Linked DNA regions of Ovis aries. The protein of the gene in region 1 purifies or fractionates together with the protein of each later gene. This does not show direct contact. Links are inferred from orthologs where the notes say so. Each region holds a gene or a part of one and is shown in the gene's direction. Other genes may lie near its edges.

Region 1 (5,609 bases):
AGGGCGAGCCGTGAGGGTGCGCTGAGGGCTCTGGGCGCCTGCGTGCCGGGGGCTCCTGCTCCACCTGGGCCCCGCCCCGTCACCATGATGGGCGTTGACGTGCGGTTCGCTTCCACGTGTGTGTGTTCCTCACACATGCTTAGGGATGTGTCTTTTCATACAGTAAGTGTGTTAACTTTAAGTGTTTGTGCTAAAGGTGTGTGTTTTCTTTCTGTCTTTAAAAACCTCCCCCCCCCCAGTCTCTGGAACTCACGAGAAAGTTGCTTCGAGACAAGCAGAACAAAAAAAACTCAGGGCAGCGCCTCCCAGTCTTCCCGGCGTGGGTGTACGAGAGGCCTACGCTGCTCGGGGACTTCCTGACCGGCTCAGGCGCGAGCGCAGACGTGGCTGTGCCCATCGGTAGGTGACGCACAGCTTTGGACAGTGGGGCCTCACGGGGACAGGGAAGCTGATCTCCTTGGAGGTGGTGGGTGGATGGCGGCGTGCCGCCCCCAAGCCCTCTGCTGCCCTCGGCCATGTGGCAACACGCGGTACCCGCTGGCCTCCGCACCCTGCCCCCCACCGGTGGGTGGTGATGTGCCCCGGCTCTCAGGAGCGTGCGTGTCTTGGGGCTTGGGCAGACTTGGGGGCAGCGGGATCCCCAGGGTCGTCGTCCTCGACAGTGAGTCACGTCCCTGCAGGTTCTGCCATCAGGATGATGGCCTCGGCCACGAGCACCAAGGGGCGCTGGGGCGTGCGGGTGTCTGTGCCCCTCCCCCACGTCTCATGACCCCCTGGGGGCAGAGAGCTGTGTCTTGCCCTCCTGCTCACAGTGTACAGGGGAGACGGGGGCGGAGGCACGGCCATGTTTACAGGCACTAGAGGAGCCTGCCCTGCAGCGGTCTCGTGTGGTGGGGCTCATGGAGCCTGGTCCCCGGGGCCACACCCAAGGGCGGGAAGCAGGGGCGGGGGGGGGGGGGGGGCTCTGATGATGAGCCTGGGGCCCTGCCTCCTGGAGCCCTGCCTCCTGGGGCCCTGCCTCCTGGAGCCCTGCGTCCTGGAGCCCTGCCTCCTGGGGCAGCTGCACGTTCAACATGATCCAGAGAGGTTCCGTGGGAAAACCCCTGAGGGAAGCTGTTCCCCGAGGTCATGCACTATGTGAGTGTTGATTTGCATGTTTGGATCAGTTAGAAGACGCAGTAGTTTCCAGGCCCACGTGAGGCACTGCTTGGAGCCTTCTTGGGAGGCTTTGCCGGGTTGAGGGGAGGTGCAGCCCCGCGAAGCGGAGGCAGCCGGGCGCTGGTTCTTAGGGCGGCCGGGCTCACGGGGTTCGATGTGGCAGGTTTCCTTTGTAGCGGGATTGCTGTGCTGCCCGCTGGTAAGGGTGCGCTGTGCCTGAGGGTGGCCCCTGAGGCCACCTCGTGTGATGCTATTTCAGGGAGGACTTGGCCAGGACAGGTGGCCTGCCCGTTTCCCTCCAACAGCCACACTGCGTGGGCTCTGGTGGCGAGATCGGCGTCTGTCCCACCGGCCCGGTGTCACCTTTCTGGCCTCCGTCATGCCCTGGCCTGGCACCACAGGCCCCAGTGCCATCCATGCCAAGATGCCTGTGAGCATCACAGTCATCCTCGGTCCTCCCTGCTGTCCCCCGGACGTAGCCTCTCCTGGGGGGCCCTGCCTCCTTGCGTGGCGTGCAGCAGCCCTGCTGGGCATCCCTCGCCAGCTACGTGGTGCCCCCCACAGTCATTTTGCCGCCCAAGTCCCTTCCTACAGCAGAGGCGTGCCCCCCGCCTGTGACCAGGCCGTCCCTCCTCACGCCAGCCTCCAGCTCCGTCTGCTTGTCTGGGCCATCCAGCCCACGGCTGGGCAGCGTAGACTCGCGTCTCCACAATTCCTGGCCTGTTCCCGAGGCCGCGGGCACAGGCGTCTTGTGGCTTCTAACCGTGTGTGTGGTTCCCGCTGGGTCCCCGAGCCTCGGGCTCAGGTCCTACAGACACGGCCAGTTTCCTGGAGTCTGAGCAGCACGTGGCTCTGTCCCTCGCCCCTCCACAGCCCCCACCCCAGCCTTGAGGCCTCAGGCAGAGCTCCCAGCTCTCAAGTTTCCCCTTTCTGGGGGACCCCATCTGTGAGGAGGGATCTGCTGTGCCCCATGAGGCCCAGTGTGCTGTCTGACGCCCCTCCCGATCGCCACGTCCGTGACGGGCTCCAGCTTCCCTGGTGTCTCCTCCTGGCCACGTGGTGACCGTGGCGCCCGCCTTTGACCCTCCCACAGCAAAGCCTGGTCCCGGCCTTCTTCTGAGCGACCCAGCCTCACCAGGTTGTGAGTGTTGTGAGGCCAAGACGCTCACGTCCCTTTGAAGATGAAGCGGTTATTTGTGTGTGGAGGGTTTCCCTTGCTTTAAGGCTCTGATCGTCAGCTCCAGACTCGCCGTGTGGTCCCTGCCTGTCGGGTGGTCAGTGCCTCTGCTGGTGGAGGTTGTGGAGTCTCAGCCGTTGGTTCCCTGATGGGATCAGTTAAGCCAGGCAGTCACCTTGGTTTTCACATCTGCGGTGCTGGAGGAAGTTACATGGAGGGAGGGGGTGGGGGAGAGAGGCCAGTGGAGTGGGGCTCTGGAGGCGAGGCCCGCTGGTGTCTGCACCCACAGGCACGCTGCCTCTGGCCTCCCAGGAGGCGGCCGTCGTGGAGGACCTGCTGTACGTGCTGGTGGGTGTGGACGGCAGGTACATCACGGCCCAGCCCCTCACCGGGAGGCAGAGCCGAACCTTCCTCGTGGACCCCAATCTGGACCTGTCCATCCGAGAGCTGGTGAGCAGGATCCTGCCCGTGGCTGCCAGCTACTCCACAGTGACCAGGTAGGCACCCGGCTTGCCACAGTGACTGGAGCGCGTGCACGGAGCCCTCCTGCAGAGAGGCCGGCCTCCATGCAGGGCCCGCAGACCCGGAGGAGCGCGGGAGGTGGCACCCACAGGCCCTCGGGCCATCCCTCCCGAGACGCAGCCCCTGCTGCTCGTGCTCAGGGCCGCCTTCCTCTCAGGTTCATCGAGGAAAAGTCCTCCTTCGAGTATGGACAGGTGAACCACGCTCTGGCCGCCGCCATGAGAACGCTGCTGAAGGAGTACCTGATCCTGGTCACACAGCTGGAGCAGCTGCAGAGGCAGGGCCTGCTGTCTCTGCAGAAGCTCTGGTTCTACATTCAGCCAGCCATGCGCACTGTGGACATCCTGGCCTCCCTAGGTGTGAGGGCCTGGTGGGAGGGACCCTCTGGGTCAAGGTGCTTGTCTTCGATTTTTTCAAACGGTCCGAGGCTGTGTAGCTTTACGTTTTATGAATTTGCGAGAGACTGACTCTGGGAGTTCCCAGAAACCCTAGCTTCATAGTTTGAATTTATCCCAGAAAGAGGACCTCTCCCCTGAGAAGGTGGGAGATGAGCTGAGGGCTCTCGCTCAGCGTGGCCAGGGGCCCTCTCGGCACTGAACGCCGCCCTCTCCCCGGCAGCCACCTCGGTGGATAAAGGCGAGTGTGTCGGGGGAGCGACCCTGAGCCTCCTGCACGACCGGAGCTTCAGCTACACGGGGGACAGCCAGGCGCAGGAGCTGTGTCTGTACCTCACCACGGCCGCCAGCGTGCCCTACTTCGAGATCCTGGAGAAGTGGATTTACAGGGGCATCATCGACGACCCGTATAGGTGGGGCGGGGGGCCGCGGGGGGGGGGGGCCGCGGGGGCGGGGGGGTGGAGAGCGGCCCTGCGGCCCCCCGCCCCCTGCACGCCTGGGACCGCGCGCCCTGCCTTGCAGCGAGTTCATGGTGGAGGAACACGAGCTGCGCAAGGAGAAGATCCAGGAGGATTACAACGACAAGTACTGGGAGCAGCGCTACACCGTGGTGCAGAGACACATCCCGTCCTTCCTGCAGAAGATGGCGGGCAAGGTGCTGAGCACGGGTGAGTGCCGGCCCCGCACGCCCCCGCGCGCCTGCGTCTCCACACAGCAGCCAGCGCCCCTGCCACTGCGCTCCCCGGGCGCCACTGCGCTCCCCGGTCCCCGGGCGCCTGGGTCTCCACACAGCAGCCAGCGCCCCCGCCACTGCTCCCCCGGGCGCCTGCGTCTCCACACAGCAGCCAGCGCCCAGCGCCCCTGTGGATACCAGCTAGGGGACCACCCCACTGAACTTGGATCTGACACTTAACCGCCGGGGCAGTGTGGGCCCAGGGATCAGGCCTCCCTCGAGGCCTGCCCCGGCAGACGCCCGTCATGAGCATCGGGTCCCCAGGCCGCTGCGTGTCTGTCAGTGTGGCCCCCAGTCAGGGTCCTGGGGCCTCCCCAGGCTTGATATTTGCTGTGACGACCCCCAGACTTGGGGAAACTTTACTTAGCAGATACGCTGGCCTGCTATAAAGGATGTTGTAATGGATACAGACAAACAGCCCGAGGAGGTCTGCAGGGCAGGTCTGGAGGGTCCCACACTCGGGAGTGTGTCTGTCCCCGAGGAGCTGGGGGCCACCAGGCCCCTCCCTCCTAGCAGGTGGACGTGCTCATCAGCCCAGAAGCTCTCCAAGCCTGTCCCGTAGCGGGATCACGTTGGTTCCAGGACAGGGCACGACTGGTCCTCTCGTGGGCCGTTGGTCCCTAACTTGACCACCAGCCCCTCTCCTCCCCAGGTATCGGGAAGGGCCGAGGGTCTCGCTGTCCTGCCATGTGGTTGGTCCCTCTGGCCGCTGGCCTGCCTCCTGAAGGTCTGCAGGGACGGCCAGGAGTCCCCTTGAGGGTGTGAACTCAGGTGGGGTGAGAGGGTTCCAGGTGCTCAGTGATGGACCAGGAGCAAGGCCAGACGCACGTGCCGCGTTTCTCCCAGCATCACAGGCCAGCAGCGGAAAAGCAGGGAAGGGCACAGGCCCTGCTGGACCGGTGGTGCTTCTAGGCATCACCTTGTGGGTCAGGAACCTGTGTAGAGACACGTGTGTTACACGTCACCTGGGGAGGCTCCAGCCAGGGCCCTGACGTTGGTTCTGAGAGCTGGGCTGGGGGCAGGGCTGGGAAGTGGTGCAGGGTCTGGCTCTCTGAGGTGATTCTCATGGCCTCGATGAGGAAAGTCCGCGGTGAGGAGTCGCAGGAAGTCGCACGCTCCGTGGATGACGCCTGTATTGTGCTGCTCTGCTCTGGGCGGGGCAGGGGGCGTGGTTTCTGGGACCGTTCTCTCCCAGGTGGTTCTGTTCCTGGCCTCGGGCTAGCGATAGGACTCGGCCTCTCAGGTCCAGGCCTGCGGTTGGTCACTTGTGCAGCAAAAGTTGCGATGCGCTTTTCTCCATCCCTTTCCAGGAAAATACCTGAACGTGGTCAGGGAATGTGGCCATGACGTCACTTGTCCGGCGGCCAAAGAGGTCATCTACACGCTGAAGGAGCGGGCGTACGTGGAGCAGATCGAAAAGGCCTTTGGCTACGCCAGCAAGGTGCTGCTGGGCTTCCTCATGGAGGAGAAGGAGCTCGTAGCCCACCTGAGGTGCGCGGCCGCCTCCTGGGGGGAAGGGGCTCGCGGCCCGCCTGAGGGGGGAAGGGGCTCGCGGCCCACCCGAGGTGCGCGGCCTCCTCCTGGGGAGAAGGAGCTCGCAGCCCACCTGAGGGAGGAAGGGGCT
Region 2 (6,255 bases), on another chromosome or scaffold:
AGTTTCTTCTCTATTATGGTATTAGTACTTAGACCATCAACATAGTAACTAGTGGCACCCACAGCTGTGAGAAACATGCTAACTAAAAAAAAGCAAGTTGAAAGCTAAGCCTGGGTGGCAAAAATCCAAAAGAATATTAGTATAGCTAGTATATATAATATTAGTATAATTAGCTAAGTCATTTTTAGTCCAGTCACTATATTATAAAAACCAATAACCATTAGAATTAAAAAGTGCACTCCAGTTTACCGCTTGTAAAGAAAGACTGACATTTAAAGTTATTCGGAAAAAGTAGTCGAGACTAACTTACCGGTAATTTTGTCGATTTAAAAACAGGACTGGAGACAGTTTGTTCATGGAGATTAGAATAATCACCAGGACTTTCAAAAGGATTTAAAATAGGAATCCTTCCTGGAGTTTCAGGTGTTATTTGCATTTTTGATTCTTTGACATCTCCCATAGCACAGAGGAAAAACTAAAAAGAAGTCATAAGTATATATAATAAAAGTACAAAGTTCCACAGACATTCATTTTGACAACTAAAGTGTATTCAACAAAGGTTGTTGTTGTTTAGCATCCAGGTGGAGTCCAACTTTTTGCGACCCCATGGAGTATAGCCCACCAGGCTCCTCTGTTCATGGGATTTCCCAGGCAAGAATGCTGGAGTGGGTTGCCATTTCCTTCTCCAGGGGATCTCCCCCATCTAGGGATCGAATGCACGACGCTTGCCATTGGCAAGCGGATTCTTTACTGCTGAACCACCAGGGAAGCCCCATTACCAAACATACATTTCACAAAAAGAATTAACTCAAAACTTAAGCTCCTGGGGCTTTTTTGTAGTTTACACAAGTGTGATGCTCTAAATAATCTTGAAAGCTAGAAGGGTAGGTAAAGTATTAGTGACAGAATTTTGCAGGAGAATTAACAAGCTCAGAGAAGTCAACTGGTTTGTAAGTAGCACTCAACCGAATGTGAATGAGGTGAGTTCCCCCTTCGGGACAACTAAACGTTCTAATAGGCACAAAACCTTTTCCTGCTAAAGAACAGTGGACCTACAGCTTTTTATTATCTCAAGTCTGTAAACAAACACTTTGTACGTAATTCCAACAGCCCAGCAATTACCCAGCAAACTGCAGTTACTAAACAGTTATTTATAGCATCACCAACTCAATGGACATGAGTTTGAGCAAACTCCAGGAGATGATGAAAGACAGGGAAGCCTGGCGTGCTGCAGTCCACGGGGGTCCCAAAGGGTCGGAAAAGCCTGAGCGACAGAACAACAGTAGCAAATAAGAGACGAGGAAAACTCTGGTCCCTTTGTACATAGGTGCCTGTCTTGCACTTTAGCCCCCATCAGAAAAGAAATGACTGATTAGGGCTACGAAATTAACCGCTTTGGGTTGCCTCGTCTCAAACACCCTTAGCCTTTGGCTAAGACCCCCACCCTCCCACGATGGAAGCGAGACTACATTATTTCCCGTTAAGGTGAGGGGCAGTACAACTAGAGAAAAGAACCCACTCCATGGAAGGCTGATGTGTAGCTAGCTTCCTCGGATGACAGGCAAAGGAGAACACTGACGCCAGTGTCATTCCCATCCCTACTCGATCACTCTTCTCTGGGGCCCCCTCTTCCACACCCACTCCCCGGTAGCTCTCATTCATTCCCAGGCGAGCGTGCAGCTGATTCAGAGCCGGGCAAAGGGAGTTCTCCAACTCGAGACAGGAGGAAAGGCCAGGAATCACAAAGAACATACCTAGTTGTGTATATAAAAAGGAAGCCCCCCCAAAGCGACTCCAGGGCGCTCCCGACGGTGCCGGGTAAGCTCCCACGACAGGCACAGACTCTTTAACTCCCCGCTTCCGCGCTGTCTCAGGCCAACCAGCGCACGGGCCTTGTGCGCGACTGGCCAATGACGTCGTACCGCTGTCCGCGAACCAGCCAATCGCAGCGAGGCCGCGTAGTAAATTCGAATGGCAACTCCTCGCTTCGCGTTCTGCCCAGAGTATCGCGGCTCCAAATTCAAATCAACGCAGCCTCACGCTGGCGAACAGCGCGAGAGGCGGGGCCTGCCGGCGTGAGCCCGGAACGCGCGGTGTGATTGCCCAGGAGAAAGGAAGGTGCTCCAGTTCCGGGTCAGGCCCTTCGCCCGCCTCCCTCGGCCTCCGCCATGGCTAGCAGCAGTGGCGCCGGGTCGGCGGCAGCGGCAGCGAATCTGAATGCGGTGAGGGAGACCATGGACAGTGAGTGCCCGTTTCGCCCCCTTTACCTTGCCTCTGTTCCCCAGAGCCAAGGCCCTGGGGCGGGGCTGGGCCCACGAGGACTTCAGGTCCACTTCCTGCCCCGCTCGGCATCTTTGGAGATGCTTCTAAGGGACCCTCCAGAGCTGATGGCCCCATCCTTTGAGAGTCGTCTCTCCGTTCCTGCGTAGTTTGTCGCGCGCACGGCGTTGCGGTCTCACGTCAGCCCGGCGCGCGCCTGGTCCCTCCCGCAACGGACCCTGCGCGCCGCCTGTTTCCCGCCTCGAGGGCTTTCTCCCGAGTGCTCATTTCGCGCCCTCTCCCGCGCCCAGTCCCCGCGACCTTCCTCGCGCGAGCTCATGCCACGCCTGGTCCCCGCGCCGGTTCCCCCGCATCCCTTCTCCTGCGCCGGCCTCGCGCGCCTTGCCCACCCCGCGCGCCGCATCCAGTGAGGGGAGCGCCTCCGAAGCGCCCCAGACTGTGAGCTCCTTGCAGACAGTGGCTTCCTGTGTTTGATCACCGCTCCATCCCTCCTTGTACCTTGCGCTGCAGCGGGAGCATGTTAAATACCTACCCCTTGAAGAAACAAGTTGTGCTTTAATCAGAGTTGCCCCCGTTTAGTCCTGGAGCCGGTGATGCCGGTGTCCGGAGACCGTGGGCGTATTTACCTGTTTTGCAGCAGGGAGCACGCAGGTAAAAACTGCCCGCAAGTAATAGAGGAAAAAAGTGTCTTGGAGTTACCCTGTCTTTCCTTTCTTTCTATTGCCGGCTCTGCCACTTTATAGCCCTGGTGTAGGCTTGGACAAGTCGTTTAAACATCTTTGAGCCTGCTTTTTTTTTTTTTACCCCAGTGAAACAAGACTGCTACCTCGTGCTGTGTGAGTGCTAAGTCGCTTCAGTTATGTCCGACTCTTTGCGACCCAATGGACTGTAGCCGGCCAGGCTCATCTGTCCATGGGATTCTTCGCTCAAGAATACTGGAGTGGCTTGGGTTGCCAGGCCCTCTTTCAGGGGATCTTTTCAACGAGGGATCGAACCCAGGTCTCCTGCATTGCAGGCAGATTGTTTACCGTCTGAGCCACCAGGGAAGCCCCCTACTACCTCCTAGGATTATTGTAAACATTTAAATAAGATAACCTGATAAAGGTATCTCGAAGGTGACCATTAACAGGTAGTTCTTGCACTGTTTTTGTGTATAAACATCATTCCGCGACCCCTTTTGTTGTCCCCATTTTATTTGCCTGCATCTGTATATGTGTGTTTGATAGATGTTAAGTTTTGCTTTTTTGCGTTTTCCAAGGGATACCCACATGAACTGCTGTCTCTTTCAAACCGTGAAATTCTCATTAAGCAGTGTCAGCCTTCATGTCCTATCTCTGGCTCTTTCACTATAGGCTCCACTTCCTATTAGAGCTCCTTCTTTATGAGGACTTGTGATAAAGCTTATGATTTTCTTTGCACTCGCTGCTGCTTCGCTTTTCAAAGAATTTTTTTTTATTAAGAGTCTTTGCTTCTAATATTTTACTCAGTGTCTGCTTTTGTCTTTTTCTGAAAAATGGAATTTTGTTAATACCATATTCAGCCTATTTTCCCATCCTTCTTGAAATAGCAGAACTTATTAGTTTTATTTTGTAAGTGGATTTGTGTACATAGAGACTAGTGTACACCATTATTGTCTTACATCTTTGCTTGGAAGCCAATGTGGTTTCTGAACAGTGTGAAGTGTATTTGAGGCCTGACTTCTAGTCAGTTTTCTTATATTAACTGTTCCTTATTATATGGGCACAGGATTCCATTTGAATAGAAAGCCCACATTTTCTCTCTGATGAAACTACTGATACAGAAATGAGAACTGATTGTTTTTAATTGGCTGCATCATCAAGGTTTTCACAGACAGAACTGCAGATTATAGTGTTAGAATATGAAAAAGTGAAGAAAGACCAGATTATTTTTTCTCAACCAACACTGGCGGAGAGAGTGTGCAAAGTAGAGAACACTGCTCCTCTATACACAGTGTGTCCCCAAATCAGAAGGTAAAAAGGAAAGCCCCAGGTTGGCAGTGTATCAACATGTGTTAAATGTGGCAGTTAGGTCCTGTCATGTCCATTGGAACTAGCTGCTATCATGCCATGCATGCATGATCAATCACTCAGGCATGTCCGACTCTTTGCCATTCCACGAACTGTAGCCTTCTAGACTTGTCTCTCCGTGGGATTTCCCAGGCAAGAATAATGAAGTGGGTTGCCATTTCCTCCAAGGGATCTTCCCAACCCAGGGATCAAACTGACATCTCCTGAATCATAATTGAGTCCAAAACAGTCAGTCAAAATGTGTAGTTTTGCAAAGTTAATGAAATATTTTCCAGGCTGTCTCTAATGATTGAGGCACAAAGGGAAACATAGGGACACTTTCACTGTTAAGAATTGACCACACACTCAACTGAAAAAGTCCTCAATGCAGTCCTTTAATAATCCCACCTTTCTCCACTCGCATTGCCAGAAATAGAACTTTAACTTGCCCAAGGAACTGGGCTGACCTACATAAGCCAATGCAGGAGACATGGGTTTGATCCCTGGGTCAGGAAGATCCCTGGAGAAGGAAATGGCAACCCACTCCAGTATTCTTGCCTGGGAAATCCCATGGACAGAGGAGTCTGGCGGGCTACAGTCAATGGGGTTGCAAAAGAGTAAGACATGACTTAGCCTTAGCGACAGTAACAACAAATTATGTTTTTGGCAATGGTGATTAAAATTTCCTTCTTCCCTACTTGAGGCTTCAGTGTGATACAGTTGTTCCTCAGTATTTGCCGGGAAATTGGGTTCAAGGCACCCTCACCCACCCACCCATACCACAATCTGTGGGTGCTCAAGTCTGTCATATAAAATGGCTAAGTGTTTGCATATAACCCACATTCATCCTCTTGTATAGGGGCTTCTCAGGTGACTGAGTGGTAAAGAATCTGCCTGCCAAGAATTTTTTTTCCCAAATATTTTCAATACACAGTTGACTTGTATCAAGTTGTAAACTAGCAAAAGAAGTAAAGAGAGTCCACAGTGTGCAAGGCAGTGTTGGTGAAGCAAACATATAGCCCATGCTCCCACCATCAATCCCCTTGCTTTCTCATGTGAGGTCTCCCCTACCTCTATCCTTCACTAAGCTTCTTCAGTTCTTCACTCATCTCAGACTTGACCTTTTGTATTAATCTCTCCTGTCCATGCCACCTACCAGTCTCTGCATAATTGCAATAACTTATCTGGACTCCTTCTCCCCAGGTCTTACACTGGGAAGAACTTGGTAAATGAGACTGAAAGGCTCATGTAAAGACAGTGTAATTATGGTTGTGAAATGTGAGATGAGCCAGACAGGAGAATATACTAAGGCCCTATTGAAGATTTGAGAACTCTTGGAAGCTACTACATTTAAAACAGGAATATGACAAGATCAGATATTCTTTTTTTTTTTTTTTTAAGATTTTGCCTTCAAGGCTGCAGTGCAGTGGCAGGATGGGAGTAACTGAGGCAAAACCCAGCAGATACCTTGAGTTGAGCAGGAGTTTAGGGTCCAGGGAGACCAAGGCAGGCAGAGTTTTTAAGACAGAGTACCTGAGAGGAAAGAGCCTGCACCTAGAGAGAATTCTGGAGGTCCATGGAATGTTCTCCCTCAGGTATTCAGCATGGCATTGATCAGTGTGCAAGGAAAGTACCCCAAAAAGATACCAAAGGATCAAACTGTTTCTAGATAACTATATCTCATGACAAAGCTTGAGAATATGTATAGAAATACAAAACTGTCAAACACCCAGCACAGTAAAATTCACAATGTCTGGCATCCAGTCAGAAATTATTAGGTATGCAAAAACAGAAGAATGTGACTGATGATAAGAAAATTTTAATCTGTTAAAAAACTGATCCTCAGTTGATACAGATGTTAGGATTAGCAGGTGAAAACATTAGAACGGTACTCCATGTGTTCAGGTTAAGTATAGGAATGGAAGAGAGGTTTTTTTTTTTTTTAAAC
Region 3 (6,353 bases), on another chromosome or scaffold:
TCCAGGAAGATTCCACATGCCTCGGGGCAGCTAAGCCTGTGTGCCACAACTGCTGAGCCCATGTGCCTACAGCCTGTGCTCCACAACAAGAGAAGCCAGCACAGTGCGGAGCCCACGCAGGACAGCTAGAGAGCAGCCCCTGCTCGCTGCAGTTAGAGAAAGCAACGAAGAAGCAACTAGAGGCAACTAGGGAAAGCAACGAGAAAGCAACGAAGACCCAGTGCAACAAAAATAATACATAAGTAAACTTTTAAAAAAAGAGTTAATAAGAGTTCCTTGGAAGAAAAGCTATGACAGCATTTTAAAACCTAGACAGCAGACATCATTTTGCCGACAAAGGTCCATATAGTCAAAGCTATTGTTTTTCTAGTAGTCATGTATGGATGTGAGAGTTGGACCATAAGGCTGAGTGCCAAATAATCGATGTTTTCTAACTGAGGTGCTAGAGAAGACTCTTGAGAGTCCATTGGACAGCAAGGAGATTGAATCAGTCAGTCCTAAAGGAAATCAACCCTGAATACTCATTGGAAGTACTGATGCTGAAGCTGAAGCTCCCAACACTTTGAGCACTTGATGCAAAGAGCCGACTCATTGGAAAAGACCCTGATGCTGGGAAAGATTGAAGGCAGGAGGAGAAGGGGGCGGCAGAGGATGGGATGGTTGGATGGCATCACCGATTCCATGGATATGAGTTTGAGCAAACTCTGGAAGATAGTGAAGGACAGGGAAGCCTGGCGTGCTGCAGTCCTTGGAGTCGCAAAGAGTCGGATATGACTGAGTGGCTGAACAACAACTTCCTGTAGAGGTTGGGAGTATTGAATGGGTCCCATCAAAGATGATAGCCGTGCCAGCTGTCTCTGTGTTAGCATCACAGGCAGCGTCCCCCTGTGTGTCGGAGCAGGAGAGGAGGCACGAAAGAAAGTCTAAAGGCTTCATACGGGCTCTGGTCTCTGACAGCCCCCAGCACACTCCGACTGTGTCAGCTGTGGCTGCCTGCTTATAGCAGCCGCATCCGCATGGTCCCCACCGGCCCGATTATCTGTGGAGCCGAGACTTTCACGGATGGTCTCCTTATCACAGCTTAGTCACTTCTGTCTGGAGCAGATGGCCTCAATTCTTGTTCCAGTTCCCTTAGTGGGCAGAAGACTGGAAAGGCCGGAGGGGAACATCACCCCTGCTTTGATCCCAAACCCTTCGGCAGCTTGGGTTTTTCCAACATCGCCACCAGTTCCTCCCAAAGGACTTCCTCTGCACTCTTGACCCTGACCAGCTCCTTACTGGGGCAAGGAACCAATGGAGGCTAGAAGTGACAAGGCCAGGGTTTCTGTGACAGCCAGCACTGAGGCTCCTTCAGTTGGGTGGGATGTTAAATCTCTCCAGTCTCTTCTGCCGCTTCTGTTTCTGCGGCTCCACTCCCCTTTCCCCCCACGGAGCTTTACAGCTTCTTTGGAGGGGATCATATAAGCCCATAGTCCCCTCAAACCTCACGTTTTGGGCAAATAGTCATTGGATGGTTGACCCGAGGGCTCACTCTCTTGGACTCAAGAGCTGCCAGGGAAACTCTGTCTCCCTACTGATGGTTCTCAGCCCTGGCTGTACATAGAACCACCTGCAAGGCTTTAAGGCCAACGCCTGTCCCCACCCCAGAGATTGTGGATCTGGACGCTGGGAGTTTGTGAGACTCCTGGGTGATTCTCAGGAGCCGACCATGGTGACAGCCAGCAGGTTAGAGAGACCTGGGGACATTCCTAGGGGATAACTCTCGTCCAGAACCTGGGATGCAAAAGACAGAAGCAAAATAGGATGTTGACGCCTCATCTGGCCTTGAAGCCAGGGCTTGGCCTTGAGTTCAGGCCAGGGGGACACAGGTGCTCAAACCATAGCATCAGGACCTAGGTTCCTCCCTCTCTCAGCTCTGCCCTCACCTGCATCCTCAGCTGGGCTTTCCTCAGGGCACAGTCGGGGGCACCAGGGGCATCAGCGCCTCCAGGCCGCCTGCTCCCTACAGGGTCTCCTTCCAGCAGTCTAAAACTGACCCCTCAGAGGGCTGGGATCACAACACCTCCCTGACACCATTGTCTCCAACCTGCCAGACTCAGGCCAGATCCAGAGTGCTTCCCCAGGGGAAATCGAGGTGCAGGCTCTCTGTCAGAGGGAAGGAAAGGGAGTGGGTGTGGGAGGGGCAGAACAAAGTCCACCCCAGAGGCTCTGCCCCTGCCCCAGAGGGATGAGATGTTCAGGCCAGGCATGTCAAGTGCTTAGAGCCGAGCGAGCAGCCCCCCTACCGCTGCCCCCAGCAACATGTGAGACCCAGGAGACGGGCATGGGCGTGCAGTGAAAGAGCCCAGGGTCCCTGGATGCAGACAGAACCTGTCCACGCCCATCCTCTGCTCTTCTGACCGCTGACGCCTGCTGCCCTTCCTCTCCCTTCCCCCAGCACCCACCCCTGGCGCCGCTGCCTTGCTCTGTAACCAGAGCAGAATCAGCCAGACTGCAGCCTTGGGCGGCTGCCATCCTCCCCACCGCCATCCCAGCCGCCCCCAGTCAGAGCCAAGGGCGGGGAGGGGAGCAGGAAGCCTTGGCAGCAGCCAACCCCAGAAGGAAACAGGGTCAGGTGGTTTCTCGAAATCGAAACTAGACTGAGCTTTCTGAAGCACTTCCTGGGACCAACCTGACACACTCTGTACTGGGAGGGTTTTTTTGGGCTGGACGTTCCTTTGCAAGTGGGAGGCCTTAGGACAGCCATCTGCAGGTGCCCCAGGCAGGTAAGCTGGTAACCTCTTGCTCTCAGGTGGGTGTCCCTCTCTTTATACAGTATAATCTTACAGTGGCCAAGTCTCCCTGCCTGTGCTCAGTTAGGGATCTGATGCTCCTCCTGAAACTAGGGACCATCACTGCTGCTCCTGTGTCTCTCTGTCCATTTGGGCAGGTTGTTCACTGGTGCACAAGGAGACCACCCAAAGGGGCAAGCAGTTCAGCCGAGGCGCTCTCTCCGATCAGTGCTTTTCAGCTCAGGCTGTTGCTGCTGCTGCTGCTGATAAGCAGCTTCAGTCGTGTCCAACTCTGTGCGACCCCACAGACGGCAGCCCACCAGGCTCCCCTGTCCCTGGGATTCTCCAGGCAAGAACACTGGAGTGGGTTACCATTTCCTTCTCCAATGCATGAAAGTGAAAAGTGAAAGTGAAGTCACTCAGTCATGTCTGACTCCTAGCGACCCCATGGACTGCAGCCTATCAGGCTCCTCCATCCATGGGATTTTCCAGGCAAGAGTACTGGAGTGGGTTGCCATTTCAGCTCAGGCTGCACCTTTCCCCAATTTGCGCAAGAGTGTGGAATGGCCCCAGGCAGACAATTCTGCCCCATCTCTCCAATGAGTCAGGCAAAAATGGGTGGCCAGAGCCAGCCGGAGGGGCAGTGACATTTGCATACCATGAGCCAAGTGCCTGATTGGCCATCTGCCTGGGACCCTGGGTTCGTGTCTCAGGGTGAGCAAAGCTGGTGGCCGCCACTCTCTGGAGAGTGCAGAGGGTGACCAGCTGTCCCCATGTGCCTAGGACCAAGGGTATGTCCAAGGACATGGGACTTCCAGTGCGAAAACCAGGACAGTTGGTGTGCTGGGTGGTTGGTCATCCTGGCCACTCGGCCATCAGTGTAATGAAGAGAGGGTGGCTGCTGGGCAGATTCCCCCATGGCCACTCACCACCCACAGCTCCCCAGCTGTGTGAGCAGAGCTGGCTACCCTTCCGGGCTTTAGCCCCCTCACTTGAAGGTGGGATCAACAAGGTCTTTCTCAAGGTCGTGGTCAGGATTCCATGAGCCAGTGGTGTGAGCAGTCTGGTCCAGGGACTGTGTTCAGTGTCGGCAGACCCTCGTGCCTGGGAGCCCCCGGAGGGTCTGGTTACCAGGCCCTGACTCGAGGGGTGCAACAACAGCAGCCACAGCCCTGCTGGCTGGGCCCTGAGGCGGGGCGTGGGTGTCGCAAGGCCCTCTCTGGGCCAGAGCAGCAGGGCTCTCTGCACCCCCTCCATGCCCCTCTTCCCACCTCACTGTGCTGGTATGCGGACATGAAGGGAGGGAGGCAGGTGAGGGGCAGGATGTGGGCGAAGAGAAAAAGGGAGCTGTGAGAGTTACAGAGGCAAGACCCCCGGCAAAAGCGGAGAGACTTGGGTCCCCCCTGCTCCCCTTCCCCGGGGCTGGCTGTGTGGCCTTGGTGGTCCCCCACCTCCTCCAGCCTCTGTTTCTTGGGGACACTGACCTCGTGGCAGTGCCAGGCCAGGAGTGTCCTCTCATCTCGTTCCCCTCCCCCAGTCTCCCCCCAGCCCCACCCAGCTGCCCAGGCAGAGGCCTGGCTCTTAGCCCTCAGCCCTCTCCCCGGCCCGCCCAGCGCCCACCCCCAGCCCAGTCTCTCCACTGCTCTCCGTCCATTGTCACCCCTTCGCGGGTTTCTGTGGCCTCCTCCTGACACGTCTCCCCACCCTACCCACCCTCGTCCCCCTCCCTCCCAACCCTACCCACCCTCGTCCCCCTCCCTCCCAGCCCTACCCACCCTCGTCCCCCTCCCTCCCAGCCCTACCCACCCTCGTCCCCCTCCCTCCCAGCCCTACCCACCCTCGTCCCCCTCCCTCCCAGCCCTACCCACCCTCGTCCCCCTCCCTCCCAACCCTACCCACCCTCGTCCCCCTCCCTCCCCACCCTGCCCACCCTCGTCCCCCTCCCTCCCCACCCTGCCCACCCTCGTCCCCCTCCCTCCCCACCCTGCCCACCCTCGTCCCCCTCCCTTCCAACCCTACCCACCCTCGTCCCCTCCCTCCCAGCCCTACCCACCCTCGTCCCCCTCCCTCCCAGCCCTACCCACCCTCGTCCCCCTCCCTTCCAGCCCTACCCACCGTCGTCCCCTCCCTTCCAACCCTACCCACCCTCGTCCCCTCCCTCCCCACCCTACCCACCCTCGTCCCCTCCCTCCCCACCCTACCCACCCTCGTCCCCCTCCCTTCCAGCCCTACCCACCCTCGTCCCCCTCCCTCCCAGCCCTACCCACCCTCGTCCCCCTCCCTCCCAACCCTACCCACCCTCGTCCCCCTCCCTTCCAGGTTCCACATGGTCCATTTCACGCAATGTTCTTTGGCAGCTGCAGACCTCAGGGTACTCTCGCAGGCTGGCCTGCCATCTGAGCCATCCCTGCCATCTCTCAGCCACCCTCAGCAGGCTCCCCCAGGCCCCCCCAATCTCGGCCCTGCACCCTCTGCCTCCTCCCTCCCCGCCCTTCCCACCCATGCCCCCTGACAGTCATGCCCAGGGCCTAGCTTTCTGATATGGGCACCTTTCCACCCCACCCCCACCCCACCTCGCCCCACTGTCCTCACTGCCCAGAGACACTCCCTTCATCTGGGAAAGTCTTCCTCATCCTTGGAGGACCACCTTCAGACGAGGTGAGGGCCCCCGCTGGGACACCCAGAGCACCCTCCACAAGGAGGGCCCAAGGCCTGTCCAGCTCCACCCTCTCACTCTACTGCCTCCTTTCGCTGCAGGACAAGGGACTCCCAGGCAAGGCCATGGCCCCTCTACGGCTCGTCTGGATGTGGCTGCTGGTCGCGGGGACTCAAGGTGAGCTGAGCCCCTGGAATCCTGAGAGCAGCGGTCTGTGACCTTGCTCTACAAGGTCGGCCCCTTCCCCTTGCAGAAAGTCAAGGCGGTGTTCTGCCTGGTGCCTGGGTTACAGGGGCCAGCCCGGGTCTTCGCTCCTGCGTGAAGCCCTGGCTGCCCCCACTCATGGCTTGGAGATTTGGAGAGGAGGCCAGGGGGCTCCATTCTCATCCAGCCGGAACCAGAGGGACCAGGCAGGAGGGGCTCACAGAATGGCTGAGCCCCGAGGGGCCTGGGGTCAGTGCCCTTTGGACAGTCAGCTTCCAGAGTCCTGAACACCTGTCCTCACGCTCTTCACACTCAGAGGCCCTTCCTCTTCCCAGTGACCCCATGGAAGGGCTGTTACACCCCATCTGAGAAGTGCCCTTTGACCTGGCACCCGGCTCCTGCCTGACACTGTTGGCTCCAGCAGGGGCTGAGGTGGGGCTGGGTGGGGAGGTCAGCAGGCTGAGTCCCAGAAGAACGAGTGTGGAGCTGGGACCCTGCGTTCTCTCCTGGTCCGGCATACTCTTCCTGTGTTTCCAGGGCGCTCTAGACCTTTGCCCCCAGGCCTTCCCAAACATCTCTCCCAGCACTCCTTGCCATGGTGCCCACCTGCACCCCAGGCCCCAGACACCCACAGGTGGGGCCGGTGTGGGCCTATTCTTCCCTTGGGGTCCTGCCACTCCACTCTCAGGTGGCACCAAGCGCCCCCCTGGCCCTTCTCGATC

The links.
Region 2: the proteins of TUBGCP2 (region 1) and MZT1 purify together in Homo sapiens (affinity purification with mass spectrometry; 4 studies listed by BioGRID and IntAct, counting the BioPlex papers as one, with this or other methods). This does not show direct contact. The link is inferred for Ovis aries from reciprocal best matches to the Homo sapiens genes TUBGCP2 and MZT1.
Region 3: the proteins of TUBGCP2 (region 1) and LGALS3BP purify together in Homo sapiens (affinity purification with mass spectrometry; 3 studies listed by BioGRID and IntAct, counting the BioPlex papers as one, with this or other methods). This does not show direct contact. The link is inferred for Ovis aries from reciprocal best matches to the Homo sapiens genes TUBGCP2 and LGALS3BP.

What each region holds. Positions count from the first base shown.
Region 1 is NC_056075.1:51,116,159-51,121,767, reverse strand, and holds part of TUBGCP2 (gamma-tubulin complex component 2), read left to right. Parts: intron 1-239; coding exon 240-399; intron 400-405; exon of another isoform or gene 406-1,128; coding exon of another isoform or gene 1,129-1,137; intron 1,138-1,417; coding exon of another isoform or gene 1,418-2,221; exon of another isoform or gene 2,222-2,616; intron 2,617-2,624; coding exon 2,625-2,832; intron 2,833-3,014; coding exon 3,015-3,214; intron 3,215-3,475; coding exon 3,476-3,665; intron 3,666-3,774; coding exon 3,775-3,920; intron 3,921-5,295; coding exon 5,296-5,476; intron 5,477-5,609. Other genes in the region: uncharacterized protein LOC132658436, read left to right, coding at 1,129-1,137, 1,418-2,221. UniProt on the Homo sapiens protein: Component of the gamma-tubulin ring complex (gTuRC) which mediates microtubule nucleation.
Region 2 is NC_056063.1:48,082,606-48,088,860, reverse strand, and holds the start of MZT1 (mitotic-spindle organizing protein 1), read left to right. Parts: upstream 1-2,125; 5' UTR 2,126-2,168; coding exon 2,169-2,241; intron 2,242-2,267; exon of another isoform or gene 2,268-2,432; intron 2,433-6,255. Other genes in the region: BORA (protein aurora borealis), read right to left, coding at 311-460. UniProt on the Homo sapiens protein: Required for the recruitment and the assembly of the gamma-tubulin ring complex (gTuRC) at the centrosome.
Region 3 is NC_056064.1:52,753,402-52,759,754, forward strand, and holds the start of LGALS3BP (galectin-3-binding protein), read left to right. Parts: upstream 1-2,630; 5' UTR 2,631-2,791; intron 2,792-5,383; exon of another isoform or gene 5,384-5,429; intron 5,430-5,528; 5' UTR 5,529-5,552; coding exon 5,553-5,604; intron 5,605-6,353.